3 linked regions of the Danio rerio genome follow. Each later gene encodes a partner of the first gene's protein in a complex. Links are inferred from orthologs where the notes say so. Each region holds a gene or a part of one and is shown on either strand. Other genes may lie near its edges.

The links.
Region 2: the proteins of kpna4 (region 1) and rela are in contact, whole or in part, in a crystal structure (PDB 7LF4), measured with the Homo sapiens proteins. The link is inferred for Danio rerio from reciprocal best matches to the Homo sapiens genes KPNA4 and RELA. Residues at the interface, in NP_002259.1 of Homo sapiens: Lys231, Asp271, Arg306, Asn310, Val312, Thr313, Gly314, Thr315, Asp316, Thr319, Lys344, Glu345, Trp348, Ser351, Asn352, Ala355, Glu387, Trp390; in NP_068810.3 of Homo sapiens: Lys301, Arg302, Lys303, Arg304, Thr305, Tyr306, Glu307, Phe309.
Region 3: the proteins of kpna4 (region 1) and ranbp3a are in contact, whole or in part, in a crystal structure (PDB 5XZX), measured with the Homo sapiens proteins. The link is inferred for Danio rerio from reciprocal best matches to the Homo sapiens genes KPNA4 and RANBP3. Residues at the interface, in NP_002259.1 of Homo sapiens: Arg96, Leu99, Ser100, Asp102, Arg103, Pro105, Phe133, Trp137, Thr140, Asn141, Ala143, Ser144, Gly145, Thr146, Ser147, Thr150, Glu175, Gln176, Trp179, Gly182, Asn183, Gly186, Asp187, Asn219, Trp222, Val225, Asn226, Arg229, Asp261, Trp264; in NP_015561.1 of Homo sapiens: Asn114, Tyr115, Cys116, Pro117, Pro118, Val119, Lys120, Arg121, Glu122, Arg123, Thr124, Ser125, Leu127.

What each region holds. Positions count from the first base shown.
Region 1 is NC_133190.1:1,641,276-1,644,930, reverse strand, and holds part of kpna4 (importin subunit alpha-3), read left to right. Parts: intron 1-845; coding exon 846-950; intron 951-2,629; coding exon 2,630-2,701; intron 2,702-3,432; coding exon 3,433-3,595; intron 3,596-3,655. UniProt on the Homo sapiens protein: Functions in nuclear protein import as an adapter protein for nuclear receptor KPNB1. Binds specifically and directly to substrates containing either a simple or bipartite NLS motif.
Region 2 is NC_133182.1:1,073,458-1,077,112, reverse strand, and holds part of rela (transcription factor p65), read left to right. Parts: intron 1-2,230; coding exon 2,231-2,365; intron 2,366-2,500; coding exon 2,501-2,605; intron 2,606-2,864; coding exon 2,865-3,080; intron 3,081-3,655. UniProt on the Homo sapiens protein: NF-kappa-B is a pleiotropic transcription factor present in almost all cell types and is the endpoint of a series of signal transduction events that are initiated by a vast array of stimuli related to many biological processes such as inflammation, immunity, differentiation, cell growth, tumorigenesis and apoptosis.
Region 3 is NC_133186.1:6,421,950-6,426,305, forward strand, and holds the start of ranbp3a (ran-binding protein 3a), read left to right. Parts: upstream 1-1,511; 5' UTR 1,512-1,527; coding exon of another isoform or gene 1,528-1,549; intron 1,550-4,356. UniProt on the Homo sapiens protein: Acts as a cofactor for XPO1/CRM1-mediated nuclear export, perhaps as export complex scaffolding protein. Bound to XPO1/CRM1, stabilizes the XPO1/CRM1-cargo interaction. In the absence of Ran-bound GTP prevents binding of XPO1/CRM1 to the nuclear pore complex.

The sequences.
Region 1 (3,655 bases):
CTAATACATTGTGCCGGTCCCTCCAGGATTTTACAGGGGCTTTTTTAAACAACATTTATGTATATTTTGTAAGTAATGTTGTTGTTTTTTTCAAAGCTTAGTTTGCTTTAATTCTTGTGTTTTGCTGTGAAAATGCATGATCATAAATATCTTATAAACCACCCTACAAGCTAAATCCTGTAAGTATTGAATAAACCTAAATTTACATTAAAGTGTTGTAAACGAAACCCTGTGTAAGTTGCTCTATTGCGTGCAGTGTCACGCTTTTACCAGCTCTGACACTGTGTTGTAACAACACACGATACGATGCGTGCAAAAATGTATATTTTCCATATTACGGATTTTTTTTTTTTTAAAACAGCAGCGTGCAAAATTTATGTTAATATGCTGTTGTTAGTGCGACGTTGCAGAATTTAATAATATATATATATATTATTTAATTCTGCAACGTCGCACTAAAACAACAGCATAAACTTCAATGACTTAGATCACCTCAGCTACTGATTATGGGCATTTATTGCCATGCTGATAGTTAACTTCATGTCTTGAAAATTAAAATGACTTGCAGACGATTTGCAATGGGTCACGGTTCGGGCTTTGATTTTCAAACCAATAACATCAGTCACTCAGCAGCCTATTAATAATGTTAAATATTTATTAAGTAGACCTTAATAAATGACCAAAAGCCTTCAGCATTTCATTGGGAGTGCAGTGGCTGGTGTTTAAATGTTTCTGTCGTGTTGCGCTGCTTTTGCTGAGGTCAGAATATTTGCTTGTTGCTGCAGTCTTGTTGTTAGGACATGTGAGGCTGATGTGTAATGAATCTGGATGTTGTGCTCTTGCAGGAGGCTGTGTGGTTCCTGTCCAACATCACAGCAGGAAACCAGCAGCAGGTTCAGGCCGTCATTGATGCCAATCTGGTGCCCATGATCATTCTGCTGCTGGATAAGGTGAGTGATGACCCGAGCTCTCTTTAACAAGTTTACCACCCACACTTCAGCTTTAGTAGTACTAAACTAATAATATTAATAATAATTTCTTATATTTAAATATATAGCGCTTTTCTGGACACTCTAAGCGCTTTACATTTTGGGTGAACGATCCTTTTGTATACGTGTAAAGTTCGCTCATCATTTAGTGACCCTTGATTACAAAGTAGAAAAATCAAATATCACTGAGGTCGATGGTTGCAGGTTTCCAGCTTAAGCCTATTTTTTTTTAGCGTTCACAATATTGACAATACACACAGACGTGACTCAGACTAATGCAACAAGTAAAATCCTACATGACTTCATGCTTTAACAGGCAGTCAAGCAGGTCGCACACCAGAAGCGCCGCGACACGGTGCGCACATGACAGTTTAAACTATCACACACCAAACGCGCACATTGACATGATATTTAACATGAAACTAATCAGATGGCGCTCTGTGGGCTGGATGAAATATGAACTGCTTCGTAAATCGTGACTGGGTGGCGCCGGTGTGTGTATAGAAATCGGTTTAGAATTCTAAAATCCATGGCGCTGCGTGGTGCTGTGCATCGCCGAGAAGTGCTTCTGGTGTGCTTCCTGCTTCATAGAGTGAACCAAAGCGCATTGGTGCCATTATAATGTATTAAATATATATTTTTTTTAAGAATCGTGATTTCTCGATTTGATTCAAAATTAAATCGTCTTAAAACGTAAATTCGAATGAATAAAAAAAAAAAAGGGAAAAATCGCCCAGCCCTACCTTTACTTGATTCAAACGTCCAAGGTTTTCCTCAGTTGAACACAAAGTAGAAAAATCAAATATCACTGAGGTCGATGGTTGCAGGTTTCCAGCTTAAGCCTATTTTTTAGCGTTTAACAGAAAAATATTTGGAATCAATCAGTTATTAGTGAGGAAATGTAATTTTTGGGAGAGCGGTCTGTTTAACGTGGGTAGAGAATGTAATTGTTACTCCTAAAATAAAAACTTTAATATTTTTAGGACCCAGAGAAGCAAAAGTTAAGACTTTGAGGTGTTTCTGCTTCACTAAACCAGAGGTTCTCAAAGTGGGGGTCGGGAACCCCCGAGGGGTCGCGGGACAATGAAGGGGGGTCGCCTGGTGATTTCCAAAAATCAATTAATTTTTATTAAACCTTAAGACTTACTGTATTTCATCAATAACTTACTGAAGAGAAAAAAATAGTCGTTTATAGTTACTATAAACTATATAGTTACTATAGTAGCTTATATTTAATAGTTCTATTGGATTGTGACTTCTTGGGTAATTACATTATACTAAAGACACAGCAATACTGTCAGATGCAGCAGATTGATTTTATAACACCAGGTTAAACTTTCTAGCCCATTTACAGCACTGACATACATTAAAAAAACAAAGAATAGACTTGGGTCTATTAGTGTGTGTGTGCATCATTGCATACAAGGTTTCTGTATTTATAACCACCACCTCAGAGAATATTGGGGGTCACGAGTCACTGGCATTGTCCTTTTGGGGGTCGCGGGCTGAAACGTTTGGGAACCCCTGCACTAAACTATGAGAATTTTAACTGAGCTGAATTTTTGGCACATTTTAATGTTACCGTGAACATGGCACTGCTGTTGTTGAGTCTCTCCATGTAATGTTGTTGTCTCTCGCAGGGAGATTTTGGCACTCAGAAGGAAGCAGCGTGGGCCATCAGCAACCTGACCATCAGTGGCAGAAAGGATCAGGTGTGTGTTCAGGTGCACAAGCATGCGTCAGGGTTCTTGCACCTTTCCCAATGTTGAATATAAGCACTTTCTGGGTGCATTTTCAAACTCTTCCTACATGTCAACTTGCATATTTATAATTCATCCATACTTCATCACATTATTTTAGTTACTATTGTTTTATTTCAATTCTACTATGTTAGAATTAGTGCTTGGCAAAAATTAATTGAATCCAAAATAAGTTTTTCTTCACATAATATGTGTGGGTGGCACGGTGGGTCAGTGGTTAGTACTGTCGCCTCAAAGCAAGGTCGCTGGTTCAAGTCCTGGCTGAGCCGGTGTGCATTTCTGTGTGGAGTTTGCATGTTCTCCCCGTGTTGGCGTAGGTTTCCTCCGGGTGCTCCGGTTTCCCCCATAAACACATGTGGTATAGGGGAATTGAATGATCTAAATTGGCTGTAGGGTATGGGTGTTTCCCAGTACTGGGTTGCAGCTCGAAGGGCATTCGCTGTGTAAAACATTTGTCAGAATAGTTGGCGGTTCATTCTGCTGTGGTGACCCTTGATGAACAAAGGAACTCAAGTCAAAGGAAAATGAATGGATGAATAATATGTGTGTGCATATTTTATTACATTTCCAAGCACTTTATCCAAAATCAAAGCACTTTTCAAACTTGTTCCGTTCCAATTTGGGCATTTTCAAGGATTTCCAACAAGCTGAAGTGTTAAACACGGTGTGATCTTATCCTGTAGGTGGCGTACCTGATCCAGCAGCAGGTGATTCCTCCGTTCTGTAACCTGCTGACTGTGAAGGATGCTCAGGTAGTGCAGGTGGTTCTGGACGGCCTCAGTAACATTCTCAAGATGGCCGACGATGAAGCGGAGACTGTGGCCAACCTCATCGAGGAGTGTGGAGGTGAGCAGACGCTCGTGTTTGTGTGTGGAGTAGCAATCAGTGTTCGAGTATCTACTTGTA
Region 2 (3,655 bases), on another chromosome or scaffold:
CACATTTCTAATCATGATAGTTTTAATAACTCATCTCTAATCACTGATTTATTTTCTCTTTGTCATGATGACAGTAAATAATATTAGACTAGATATTCTTCAAGACACTAGTATACAGCTTAAAGTGACATTTAAAGGCTTCACTAGGGTAATTAAGTTAATTAGGCAGGTTAGGGGAATTAGGCAGGTTATTGTATAACAGTGGTTTGTTCTGTAGACTGTTGAAAACAAATATAGCTTAAAGGGGCTAATAATATTGACCTAAAATGGTGTTTAAAAAATTAAAAACTGCTTTTATTCTTGCCGAAATACAACAAATAAGACTTTCTCCAGAAGAAAAAATATTATCAGACATACTGTGAACATTTCCTCAATCTGTTCAACATCATTTGGAAAATATTTAAAAAAGAAGGGGGGGGGGGGTGAATAATTCTGACTTCATCAGTATATACAGTTATTAGTAGGGCCAGACAGATTCTTCTGACATCTTTTACTATTTCTGCTGAGAATTTAGTAAAAATTCTGCAGATTTATGCGGAAGGATTGTAGTAGTATCGTAACTAAAAACTTAATATATGAAGTCAACAAATAATGCATTTTAAACTTTTATTTACTGTTTACTATGCAAATCCAATTAGATCCACTTGTTTGGTAATCAAAGCAAGTCTCTCATATAATAGATCTAAGACAAGACAGCTGTATTGTGAATAAATCATGTCAATATTTTAATACTCGTCAACATTATTACTGAATTTATTTAAAAACTGAATAAATATAAGATTACACACATTCACACAAGTAACTAAATAGACTCAGCCATGGGCTGGAAATCTGCAGATTTCTGCGTGTGCAGATTCCGTGTGGGCCTAGTCCTCAGTAGTAGTGTCAGTAGTAATTAGTAGTATGTATAAGTTACTAGGGCTGTCAGAATTCATTGTTTCTTCAATGCACTGAGAATCAGACGTGAACAGTGTGTTATTGGTTTAGTAATAATCATAACCGCTTATTATATACTGACGTCATTTATCACACATGCGCTATATGGCGGTAGCTTACTATAGCGAGGGAGGAGGCTGTGAGTAATTAAAACTGCTTCAACAACTTACAAAGCAGAAACTGTGCACAATTGACTGCTTGTGAGTTTGCTGGACAGTCTGTCACTGAGAGGGAAGTACAACAGAACCCAGCTCTCTCTCACTCTCTGTAGTCCCTTTGACCTGCTGGCGTGTTCGTGAGGTTTTGTTTTATCAGACCCTCTAGTGTTTCGCGAATTTATTTTATTGAAATCTTTTGTTTATTTATTTATTCTTTGCTAAAGTCATCCCTCAACCAATCTCCGTCATTGTAAGCTGCTGCTGTTTTGTCTGCTCTGTTGCTCTGTTTGTTAGATGTTTGCTCACACTTTATTTTACAGCGCGTCAAACGCACAATTTGCGCCACAGGATGCCTAATCGCATCTTTGCATTGACTTCACATGTAAATCACTCGCACTTAATCTGCGTCTGTTTACTGCACATGCTGCAAAACGCCGCCACCTGGCTTTCATGTACTGTAATGATTGTGAGGGCGCAGGTGAGACGCCGTTTTTCGAGAGACACTTAAATTGATCTCGTGTGCTGCGTATGCAACATCTATAAGTCATGTGACACACTCAATTGCAAATACAAATATAATTTGGTTTGGAATTTGTTGTTTAATAAGATTTAAATTTGTTTTGATTATTTTGCGTTTAAATAAGAATTTTGCAGAATCGCAAAAATGTGCGACTTTTTGTTGATTTTTGCGTTGGATTCAGCGATCACAGAATCGCACAAAACTAGGGGGTCTGTTTTATTTCCTCTCTCAGCTGCTACAACAATAACAGTACTTGTAACGTAACGTTACGACCATGTCTGCCGAGCGAGTTTTCTCCACCGCGACGCCGTCTATAATGGACCAGCTGATCGCCGCGGCCGATTAACATCAGTGTCCGTGTCACTGTTTGCTGAACAACACCAAAGTCGCGCTGACCATTAGAGCCAATCGCAGCCCTCTCTGTTGAGCGTGTGATCAATCATAGGCATTTAAGAACTCGATCAACAACGCTTCAAAAGCAAGCGGGATCAAAATTACATTTGTTTATTTTTGTGTCATTCTGTATTTGTGAATGACATTTTACAAACACATAACTGTTAATCTGCAACCTGGATTCTCTCTCTCTCTCTGCACGTGTGCATGTGTGTGTGTGTAGTTCCTGACGCAAAGATCTGGGAGGAGGAGTTCGACCTGAACGCGGTGCGTCTGTGTTTCCAGGTCTCCATCACCCTGAGCAGCGGAGATCTGTTCCCTCTGGAGCCCGTCGTCTCTCAGCCGATATACGACAACAGTACGACTGTGTGTGTGTGTGTGTGTGTGTGTCTGTTTGTGCATCTGTATGCGTTTGTGTGTATCTGTTTGTGTTTCTGTATGTGCATCTATGTGTGTGTTTGTGTGTGTGTAACTCTGTGTTTGTGTCCTGCAGGAGCTCCTAACACTGCTGAGCTGAAGATCTGCCGTGTCAATAGAAACTCCGGCAGCTGTCGAGGAGGAGACGAGATTTTCCTGCTGTGTGATAAAGTACAGAAAGGTGTGTGTGTGGCACTGCAGAGACACACACACACACAAATACAGAGACAGACACGGATACTTAAAGACAAACACACACTCTCAATCAGACACATAAACACACAAAAGCACAGAGACACACACACAGCCTGTTTCAGCATCGCTCATATACTGTCTCACTGAACGTTTGATTCATTCATATATTTATTTATACTGATCATTTTCAGTATTAATATTGTTCATAGGGCTGGGTTAAAATGCTGTGTGTGTGTGTGTTTCAGAGGACATTGAGGTGCGCTTCTTCCTGGACTCGTGGGAGAGTAAGGGCTCGTTCTCTCAGGCTGATGTGCACCGGCAGGTGGCGATAGTGTTCCGCACGCCGCCCTACTGCGACACTAACCTGACCGAGCCGCTGCGTGTCAAGATGCAGCTGCGCAGACCATCTGACCGCGAGGTCAGCGAGCCCATGGACTTCCAGTACCTGCCCTCAGACCCGGGTGAGCTTTATTACAGTGTTGCCATTACATACTGCATTAATACCTAGTTATTACAGTGTTAACTAAGTGTTATTACTGCATTATTATGGTTAATTAAGTATTATTACTGCATTATTATGGTTAATAAACTGTTATTACAGCATAATTACTACATTACTGAATTATTAGTGTTAATTAAGTGTTATTAATGCATTATTTCTACATTACCGCATTATTACGGTGTTAATTAAGTATTATTACTGCATTATTACTACATTACCGCATTATTACGGTGTTGAGTGTTATTACTGCATTATTACTACATTACCGCATTATTACGGGGTTAATTACTTGTTATTACTGCATTATTAATACATTACTGCATCATTACAGTGTTAATTAAGTGTTGTTACAGCATTATTACTACATTACCGCATTATTACTACGTTATTACTGCATTATGACATTATTACAGCAATATTATGGCAATATTACTGTGTTATTACTGCAATGTGTACGTGTTTTACAGCATTATTCCATTATTACAGCGTTATTACTGTTAATTCATTAATAAAATTTTTACAATGTTATTACTA
Region 3 (4,356 bases), on another chromosome or scaffold:
ATAACATCTTGCTTTTTTTATTTGTACTTTACAAACACAGCAAAAACAGGCAACAAAAAATCCAGCATAATTGAAATTCTATATAAATAAATAAAAATAAAAAACAAAAGGAAGACACCAAAAACAGATTTATATTAGCTTACGATAGACAGAGCTTTTACATTTTTTTTTACAGCTTTAAGAGACTTCATTAGCAGAATAAGTTTGTTGAAAAATACTATGTATAAAGGAGGAGTTTTTGAACATTCTACATTTGTGGATAAAGAATTTACCATTAAAAATAATAAAATTAACAAGTTGTTAATTAGTTTATCACCCTTTTCAAAATAACAAATAATTTATTTTCCATTCAATGTTATCAACATATTATTTTTAGCAGAATAATCAGAAAAAGATCTTTCTCAATATCTAAAAATTTGGAAAGTAACACGTTGGTTGGGTATATTTATTGTAAAATTTTTAAATTAATTTCTCTTACTTTATTTTAAATGCAAAATTTGTATGGTAGCAGCCATGCTTTTCTCCAATTGACCTCCCATAATAACGAATTCCAATAAAATTTCCCTCTTGGAATAACTCTATTTTTATCATCAAATACTTGCCTAATGTATTTGTTAGTACATTTTTGTCAAATATATTTTTACGATTTATCAGGAAATTACATTCTTTATTTTATATCTTATAATAGGTCAAATGACTGTACATGTACCATTAAATTAAGGAGTCTCGAGGGGATATCTTGATCACTGTTGAAAATTCTTTAAATTTAACAGGAAAATTGAACTTAGATAAAAATGATTTATATGAATAAATCCTTAAAGATTAATTAAATATATCACTTACATGTACCAATATTTTCCAACAATTTCTCCAAATATAAACTCTTTTCTTTAACAGTAACTTATTCCAAATTTTCATTCTGTGTGGAGAAAAAATTATACACAAAGCAAAGTTTCCAAGCCGAGAGTGCTTGCTCATGAAATTTAGATCATTTTACTGGTAATTTTGATGGTGAAAAATTGCAAGTCAAAAGAAACTTGAGACCATCCACCTTCTTGAAGATACTGTGTGGAATAAAAAACAAAAACATCATGAATTAGGGTCAACGGCACATTTTTTTCATCCTAATAATCTTGAATGTATTGTTCATAGCTATATAATCTAACATCTCAAAGCCTCCAAATAACATCTCAGCTTTTTTTCATTTATTTTTTTTATTAAACAACAACTAATATACATTTTAAACATGACATCCAAAAAATACAAATGTAACTAATAACATAAAATAAACAAAAAATAAATTACATAAAATAAATAACGAGACAATTCAACATAAAGATCTTTACAATTATATTATTTTAACCTATTTAATTGACAATAACTTTACTAGTCAATTAACTTCAGCTCCTTTGCCACTATAATTGTATTTTGACATTTTTAATAATAACATCTCTGCTAACACAACCCTGTCGACACTATTGCGTCATTGTAAAGCGCGGGGGATTATGGTTAGTCAGCGGAAGTAAGATGGCGGAGGAGACAGCTGAGGGTAAGTGATGTTTATGTCTGAATTACTGGTTAAGCATCCTCCGTGCCCGTTTATTTACTATAACGACTCGCGTTATGTGAGAAACTGTTTGGAGTTGATAGATTTATTAACGTAATAATGTCGTAGCGTTCAAACAGACCTGCATAATCAGAGATATGACTAATGTTTACATACAATCACATTATTTATGATTGAAAGTGTAGTGCGGGTATATGTGATTCGGTTTATAAATAATAGGCTTAACGTTATGTAGTTCCTTTATTACACTAGGCAGTGTTTATTGTTCAGGTTTATTTCTTGTAACGCACGTTATAGTGGGTGTGTGAGTTTGAAACATCTGCGTTTGAGATAAGAGGCATTGCTGTATAGTACGTTATGCTCTTTCCAGCTTGAAATGTCAACAGTAATGTGACTTTGAATGCTATAACTCTTCTACTATACCTTTATCTTAAACCAGATGATAATTCATTCGTTGTTCCAACATTACCAGAGCATTACAAAACAACAAGTGTACAACAATTCTTTACATTTGAGGTAAAGTTGGCTTTATATTCGCACATTATGTCTTCCCTGCTGAAAAAGAAACAGCCTAAACCTGCCTAAGCTGGTTGACTGGTTTTAGCTGGTCGACCAGCCTGGTTTTAGAGGGGTTTTGACCATTTCCAGTCTGGTTTCTAGCCTGGTCTTAGCTGATCAGGCTAAAAAATAACCAGCCAAAGCCAACCTTAAAGAACTGGTTTAAGCTGGACATAGCTGGTTTTGGCTAGGCTGGTCAAGTTGGATATGGCCTGGCCAGCTAAGACCTGGTTGGAAATGTCAAAACCCCCTCTAAAACAAGGCAGACTGGTTGAAGCTGTTTTTTTTTTTTTTAGAAGGGTTTCTCTTTAATAATATTATTTCAGAATCAGAAAATTATTTTTTTTTGCAAATTCTAAAAAGGGAAATTGTTTTTTTTTTCAGCCAAAGATGATCAAAGTAAAACATTTTCACAGTCAAATAAATAGTGGCAATGTTGTTTTTAAAGTCATACCTACAATTAAGATCGAATATTCAAAGTAGCATGTCAAAATTGGCTCAGAAATGAACAAATGTGCAAATATAAAACCAACTTTACCCCGATGTCTTTACAGGCTGCAACAGATAATAACATTATCTGTATGATTATCAATAACATTTCACAATTTTACTACTTGTACTGTATTTTTGATCAAATAAATGCAGCCTTGGTGAGCAGGAGAAGCTTGATTTAAAACATTTAAAAATCCTACTGACCCCAAACGTTTTACAGGTAGTGTATATTTAGGACAAGGATCACAGTTCAGCATAAAAATACTAATTAAACATTTTTACTTTTCCACTTTTTCTTGTCAGCAATAAGTTATTTTTTTTTTATTATTAATTAAAAGTTTTAATGATTATTTATTCATGTATTTTGTATATTTTAATATATATTGTGCATGTTTTCTTTCTTTTTTTTCTACATAAATGCATATTTTAAATGCAACTTTAATTCATTTATTTTCCTTCGGGTTAGTCCCTTTATTCATGAGGGGTCACCACATATTTAGCATATGTTTTACAAAGTGAATGCCCTTTTAGCTGCAACCCAGTACTGGGAAACAACTATACACATTATATATATATATATATATATATATATATATATATATAACCATTCACATCCACAAGAGGTAAAATAGGAGGGTACTTCCAGCGGGATTCCTCTCCATCAACTTGATAACATTAATTGGATTCATAAATTTCTCTAAACTACTGCCTCGATCAACACAAAACAGGTGTCATTAGAAAGCTTAGATTTTGGTTTCTATAATGCATGTAGTGATTTTGATTAACTTCAGTGTAGTGCTGAGTTAGTTGCTATCAAACAAGAACAAAGCAATCGTAATTTATGATTCTGTGATGTGAAAAACACCATATAGCTCTGAAAGTCTTGTCATATATCATTTAGATATATAAAAAGGCATATTTGTTTGGGGTGTTGTCTAAAATTGAGCGAATGCTTGTATGCGATGTTCCCCCTGACCCATATGTCAGTAATATAGATGTCATTTATGTGATGTGACTTCATTGTCAGATCATGGTAAATCATACAGTATTCACAACAGATTTTTGTAATTGAGCCTGGACTCACCGCAATGTGAAAGTAAACGTCACAAAACTGTCTCTAGTCGTGGAAAATCGAACATTATTCATAGCAGATTTACCCGATTACTAAAGCTTAAGCTCACCATAATCCATATTCATCATGAAGACCGCACAGAAACACACATAGTTAAGTACATACTATTGATGAATTATTGTTGTGGTTTTTCTACTCGTAACTTTGTGAAACATGCTCCGATCCTAATAAATTACACATTGTTTAGCACTAAAGTAACGATGCTCAGTCAAAGAGATTTGAAGATATATCATATTGAGTTGTTGTTTATGTCGTTTATTATAAAAACAAAGCCAGATTTTCTGTCATGCTTTGACTTGCAACTTCATAATACTTGCTCAGATTGTAATAAGTGGCACAAGTTTTTTTTTTATACAGCAGATTTAACTTAATTCCTTTTTTGTATCGAAAGTTGCCATTCATTCATTCATTTCGGCTTAGTCCCTTTATTAATCTGGAGTCGCCACAGCGGAATGAACCGCCAACTTATCCAGCACGTTTTTATGAAGCGGATGCCCTTCCAGCCGCAACCCATCTCTGGGAAACGAAAGATGCCATGTCATGTCAAATTTAAAAGCTATACTTTTTTTTTCTTCCTATAGACGAACACTGTTTTTACTTTAACAAC